Linked DNA regions of Danio rerio. The protein of the gene in region 1 interacts with the protein of each later gene in a biochemical or structural test. Links are inferred from orthologs where the notes say so. Each region holds a gene or a part of one and is shown on either strand. Other genes may lie near its edges.

Region 1 (2,948 bases):
GGAAGTGAACAGATGTCTACTTTTTACATCAGAGCTTTTTTTCATCTTTAGCTTTTACGTAAACGGAGTAAAAAAAAATGTGTCAAAGTATCCCACATTTCCTTTTATCACTGGAAGAATATTCATGTAATAATCAAAGTACTGAGGTGCTAAGATTTTATGGGTGTTTTAGCACCATGTAAGATTTTTACTGGCAAAATTAGCTGTCTAAGTTCGTGTTAATATTTTATATTTATGTAGCAAGTTGTAAAGTGCCTTCCAAATGTGAAATTGACCAGCTATACTATAGCAATTACTTGGCCAGCAACATTGTGTTGTCAAATCAACATGAGAATGAATTAAAAAATGTGTTATAAATAATAAAGTATATCAACAACCCCCTGATGAGTTCTTTGGTTTTTTGCTGACACTGGAAAACAAGACTCACACTATCGTTCACTCATACATAAAGACTTTTTACATTATGAAAAAGACCAGAGAATTACTTTGCCTTACCTTGTGTTTATGAAAACCTAGTTTCCGTTTTCCAAATTAACTCGTATAAATTAATTATGAGAAAAAAAAAATGTACCGTTAAGAAATAAACACTGAAGTAACGTAAATTCTTAAATTGTGATAACAGTTAGCCTAAATCGGTTCAAAAAACACCAACATTAACATTATTAAAAAATGACAATTTAATAAGCAAAGCATGCATCTCAAAAATACAAGCTATATCACATTCAGACACATGGAAATTGCTCTTTTCAGAAGAGTTGGGTGGCCCTTAAAAGGGCCTTTGGATGAATTAGCTCAGTTCAACATTTAATACTCTTGTGACTGGGAAGATCCCTTCTTTCCAGATTTGCCGGAGCTGGCTGCAGCCTGGCCAGTCTTCTTGGGCAGGAGCACGGCCTGGATGTTGGGCAGAACACCGCCCTGTGCGATGGTCACTCCGCCGAGCAGTTTGTTCAGCTCCTCGTCGTTACGGACGGCCAACTGGAGATGGCGAGGGATGATACGAGTCTTCTTGTTGTCTCTTGCGGCGTTTCCCGCCAACTCGAGGATCTCAGCAGTCAGGTACTCGAGCACGGCGGCCAGATACACGGGGGCACCGGCGCCCACTCGCTCAGCATAGTTGCCTTTACGAAGGAGACGGTGAACACGGCCGACGGGGAACTGAAGACCGGCGCGGGAGCTGCGAGTCTTAGCCTTAGCGCGGGCTTTTCCTCCGGTTTTACCTCTTCCAGACATGTTGAATGGCTTACTTAACTCTTCGCGTGTGCAAGAAATCAGTACATTGGCAGTGAAACTGCTGCAGTATTTAAAGACTGGTTGAACGTTCAAAGCATAGTCCCGCCCACACATTTGATTGGTTGCGCGAAGGGAAGTACAGACCTGATTGGTTGTCGGTGGTGAAACCAGAGCGGATGTAATCCCCCATTGGCTTGAACTTGCAGTGCATAAACAGCGCAAAGTAACGAACCAATCAGAGTGTATCTGAATATGCGAGAGCTGATTGATTCGCTTGGTTCGTCTGCGCTAGTATTGGTCTTTCTTTACCTCAATCACATTTCGGCGGTAAGTTCAAACCAATTGAACATATTCCCTCTGAATTTTAACACAGTTTGACGCAAAACCAATTTTTTCATTTGTTTAACCCTCTCATGTACACTTATTGTGACGTAATATTTTATAGATTTAATTCACTCAATGTAAATGTCTTTAAAATGTGATTTGTATGCGATTTCTTTAAAATGCACAATGAATTAAATCACTTTGTCGTGATGTGACACTAAAGTGATTCAGTGTGCATTTTAGATAAATTCACTTTTAGCTGATTAATAATGGGAAATAAGAAAGGAGGAATGGTTTTTCAAAAATAATTTATTCAGAATAAATTAAACATCAAATGAACAACAATATAAAGCTCCGAATACCTCAGAAGGCCCAGCAGCAGCACCTTCACTTCAGATTGTTCGCTGTCATCACAACATTTTGCTCATACATTTTTCAGGCTTTATGCTCCAAAATGACTATAAAGCGCTGAGCCATTGACTCGTGACCTGCAATTCACTGTATAATTGCTAAAATGCTTTCCTGTAGCTATTATTTTGGTTAGAACACCCTTGCCTTTATTATAAGTTCAGGTTATTTGGAATGAAAAACAAAAGTCTGAGAATTGCATTGAGTCGTATGGGTGGGGAACCCCAGCAGACTATTTTTTAGTTTAATAGGCGTCTAATAGACATCTAAACATAAACAGCTTGGATTAGTCAAAACTACACTAGTCGTCAGATAGACAGACTTTATATATGTAGTCATTAATTTCTGTTTATTTGATGACTAGTCTAGTTTTGGCCTATTTTAGACGTCTACTGGAGTTTCACTGACAGCCCTTTATTTAGCCATGAGGACTGTTTAGACGTCTATTAGACATCTTAAAAAGGGAAGATACTGCGAGAGATTCTTTAAAGGGACAGTTCATCAAAATGATATTTGATTGGGGGTTTCAATCCTGTTTCGTGCAACATGAAGAGTTTAATGCAGATAACCAGCTTCAGTTACCACAGCATCTTTATATCCATCAAATGAAAATGAATGGTGACCACGTTGAGTAGGAGGTTTGAGTATGAACTACTCCTATATTTGACCTTACATTACCAGAAAACAACAAAGCCTCCTGCTTAGTATTACAATAAAAAGCTACCACTAATAAAATCTACTTTATGTATTTGACGTGCAAAAGACCTTTATTGCAGCTCACTTTAAATAAACGCGGTTGTGTGTTACTGGGGCAGCGCCTGTTCGGTTTAAAAAGCCATCTCTGAAAAAAATAAAGCGATGAAACTTATTATACCTTTTATATTAGCCCCTGAGGTTTCACGTGGACCCTGAAAATAGCACTTTCCCACTGCAGATCCAGCCTGATGCATCTCACGAGGTTGTAGATTTACAATAATTCCTGG
Region 2 (4,016 bases), on another chromosome or scaffold:
CTTTCAATTTACCAGTCAATCTACATTCCTATTCTCACCTATGGTCATGAGCTTTGAGTCATAATCGAAAGGACAAGATCTCGGATACAAGCGGGCACACTCTTAGAGATAGGGTGAGGAGCTCGGAGTAGAGCCACTGTTCTTCCACATTGAGAAAAGTCAGCTGAGGTGGCTCGGGTATCTGTTTCGGATTCCTATTGACACCAACCTTGGGAGGGGTTCCAGGCATGTCCCACCGGAAGAAGGCCTCAGGGAAGACCCAGGACAGCTGGAGGGACTATGTCTCTTGGCCAGCCTGGGAACGCCTCAGGATCCCCCCGGAGGAGCTGGAGGAAGTGTCTAGGCAGAGGGAAGTCAGGGGTTCTCTGACTGCTGCCCCCGCAACCCGCCCATAGAAAAGCGTTAAAAATTGAATGATGAATGAAAAGTTATACTGTGTTAGTTAAAACAATTCAAAGTATTTTTTTCTATTTATTTTTTTATAATATAAAAAAAATTAAACAAATTAGGAAATTACCCTTGGCAACTTTAATGTAAAATGGTTTGGTATATTTATTTTCAGCCTACGGCTAACAAATGAGATTTGATTTTTGGACCTTTATATGAAACAGTTTGGGCACCCCTGACTTAATGGTTGTCCACATTAAAGAATTACTTTTAATGATTTAAATGAATAATATAAAAAAAACTCAGATGTAAACATGGGAACAGATATTTCATATCTTCAATACATCCTATGTTTTTATTGACGAAAACGTTTTTTTTTTTTTATTGACCTGTTTAGCATAGCAGCACCTTCAGTTTAGAATGACACTTACTCCCATCAGAGAGACAAAAACAATGTTAATGAAATCCGTGGAAACATTAAAATAACTGTTTAAAATGCATAATTCATAAAGTTCATGCTCACATTCTACATTAATATTAAACCTTATGACACAGGGTTAAGATATCAGTGAACACTACAAATGATTTACCGTTCTCCTTGTCAATTAAAACCATGTACAAATACAACCAATAGCATTGATCCCAAAAACTATTTTTGAAACAGGTGACATGTTAGCTGCAGAGAGATATCTTCTCAGAAGATAATTTCTTTTTTGGTCATTTTCCCCCACAGTTCTCCAGGCAGCACAAATCCAAAGTAAAGTGCAAATATCCCTAGTTGACCCATCATCTCTACCTGACTGACCCGAAGCGTAATAGAAGTGAGCAGTGGACATACAAAGGTGTAAAAATTAAAACTCATTTAAAATCAGACAAAATCTCACATTTTCATTTTCAATGGTCTGTAAAATATAAAGTATAACACAAAACACACTAAAGCTGGAGTGTTGTGAATGGAAGCGGGTGATTTTTTTTTTCTTTTGACATTGTTACTTGTTTCAGGATTTGGTTTCTCGATAGCTTATATAAACTATATGAATATCAGAGTCTGACCGTCCAGCATGAATGAATGGATTGCATTGTAACAGCAGCACAAATGTCAGCAAACACATACAGTAGTCTTCCCATGCTGAAGCAACACTTGGGCGTTTTCAGACTGACCACTTCCATCACCATTGTTCCTGGCCGAGGGCTCTGTACTTGGTATTTGCAAGGATGTACAAGAGGACTCTTTAAGAGAGGACTGGGTCAAACTACTACGGGGCTTCTTCCCCACAGGAGAGGAGGAGAAATCCTCGAGCACCCGTTTGCCAGTCGGTGTTCGGTCACAACTGGCCCCATTTTCCAGCAAGTCATTACAGGGCAGGTCCTCAGAGTTTGTAAGGCTGTCAGAAGATTCAAATATTATGCTTGCACCAGAGCTGTTATTTTTTTGTTCCAGGATGGGCTGTACTGGAGCATCAGGAACCTAAAAAAGAAGGAAAAACCATTATTGAAAGTAAAGTTTAAGCGTGTTGTTGTTTTTAGGGTGTGTTCAGATTGAGTTGGTTTGATTAAAACAACCCTGCTTGAAAATGCCCTGTATGGACACTGCATTTGAAAAAAAAAAAAAAAAAGTGTTAAGCCATTAGAGCTCTGGCATGCACTGAACAGGCATAAAGAGACTTAAAAAAAAAAAGATGGGTCTCACTCTCAATCCTTTCCCTAATGAACTCAGGTGCTATTTAATAGAACTATGAATGCAACAAATCAATGACATTTTAAATAAATAAAAAAAAATGAGTTAAAAAAAATCTTGAAATCACAAGAAGCAAACAATGGACAGATAAATCAGCTGCATTACCCATAACAGTTTAGTACAGGAGTTGAAGATGCAATCTCCTTGTAAATTAATTTATAGTACAGTTGTGACTCCTTTACTTATTTTATAATAATTATACAATTTAAAAGTTAGATGTAATAGTTTAAAGTTAAAAATAAGTTATAATAAGCTCATTATGTGTTCTCAGCACATAAAAATAGCATGTTTTTACACAAACATCAGGTGGAGATGAAAAGTTCGGATCATTTTACTGACTCGGACCTTTGAGTGTCGTTCAGTGAGTTGAACGAATCTTTTTGAGTCATTTTGTTTAATTTGTCAAAATATTATTAAAATGTTGCGAGTTGCTTCCAAACTCATCTACAACTACAACAAACATTGATCACACTACAAACAGGTCATAACTAGAAAACTAGAAAATAATCATTTACAGGGTTCAACGGTAAGGATTTTTCCTATTGGCTTGACTGGACCAGTGGTTCAGATTTTTACTTGCCCTGCCAAAATTTTCACTGGCCCCACCAAAAAAAAAAAAAAAGAAATAAAGTTAATTGCTATTTCTTTGCCACATATATGACATAATTTGTCACAAAATAATGTATGTAAATCTAGAATTTAAATTTCAAACGTTAAAATATTTAGCAGTAAAATATAGCCTGTGGAAAATGTCCAGGTATTTTATTGCAAAACAAAAGGTGGCTGACTTAAAAGTGACGGCAAACTAAGCAAAACATCACTTCATTTATTTCATCGTGTTGTACCCATGTACAGGTTTCCATAACGTTAGAAGCAGACATTTTCTTTTAACCTCATAATTTAATAAAAGAAGACTTGAAAACATAGCTAATCTTTTACTCTACCTGCACAGATGTGTGCATGCTCAAATGAACGAATCCCTCCCTGGGAGGACTCATCGTTCTCAAGTCATACAAAGGATTTGTTCAAGAACGACCCATAACTAACAACAAGCATATTTAGCTGTTTTGAATGTTCAGTAATGTCCAAATATTTGTCATACAATACTTTTTTTGTTTCATTACTTTAGGTTTAGTCTTTAAAAAATATTTTCTTTTATTGTCCAGACCAAGCAAACAACTGTGAACACACAAATAATTTAAAACCACAATATAATCCATTACAAAAGAAAAAAGATTAAAACATTCCTAACCTGAGTCTGCAAAGAGTTGGTGCAAGGTTTAGAAACAGCGCCACATTTTGTTCCTTGAAGATTGTACACGGTCTCATAAGGTGGCAAACACTCGCTGGATGTCCCAAATGACTCCAAAGAGATAACAATGGCACTGGTATTATCAGCACGGAGCATGCGCTGACGCCATCTCAATAAGGCATGGTTCACAAGCAGAACAGCATTTGAAACATTTCCCTTTTGGTTCTTCGCCTGTTGGAATAGGCATTCATGTAAGTGAATGCTTCTAAAAGTAAACACCAATGACATTGGCCTAAAATATCAGGTTAAACGACTCACCTTGGCCTCATCATTGTCCTGACAAATAGACACAGCCTCCTGCGGTGATACCATGTTCCATAACCCATCACTGCCTAAGATAATGTAGCGGTGCTGCTTCAAATCCAGCTTGATAACAGCAGTATCAGGCTCTGGGGATACTACAAACTCTCCACTGTAGAAGTCATAACTCCACAAATCACCTAAAGACACATTTAGTGCATTAAATATCTAAATGTGTATGCTAAAAACATATAAAAATCAGTTTTATGCAATTTAGTCAGCCAAGCTTCGATTTGCATTGGCAAGATCTTTAAAAACTTTTAATGCTAGGGGGAATTA

What was found.
Region 2: of the proteins of h2ax (region 1) and ppm1da, one has a biochemical effect on the other in vitro, tested with the Homo sapiens proteins (3 studies listed by BioGRID and IntAct). The link is inferred for Danio rerio from reciprocal best matches to the Homo sapiens genes H2AX and PPM1D.

What each region holds. Positions count from the first base shown.
Region 1 is NC_133180.1:31,151,390-31,154,337, forward strand, and holds h2ax (histone H2AX), read right to left. Parts: upstream 1,277-2,948; 5' UTR 1,234-1,276; coding exon 805-1,233; 3' UTR 660-804; downstream 1-659. UniProt on the Homo sapiens protein: Variant histone H2A which replaces conventional H2A in a subset of nucleosomes. Nucleosomes wrap and compact DNA into chromatin, limiting DNA accessibility to the cellular machineries which require DNA as a template.
Region 2 is NC_133190.1:29,433,816-29,437,831, reverse strand, and holds the end of ppm1da (protein phosphatase, Mg2+/Mn2+ dependent, 1Da), read right to left. Parts: intron 3,878-4,016; coding exon 3,696-3,877; intron 3,609-3,695; coding exon 3,378-3,608; intron 1,856-3,377; coding exon 1,487-1,855; 3' UTR 729-1,486; downstream 1-728. UniProt on the Homo sapiens protein: Involved in the negative regulation of p53 expression. Required for the relief of p53-dependent checkpoint mediated cell cycle arrest.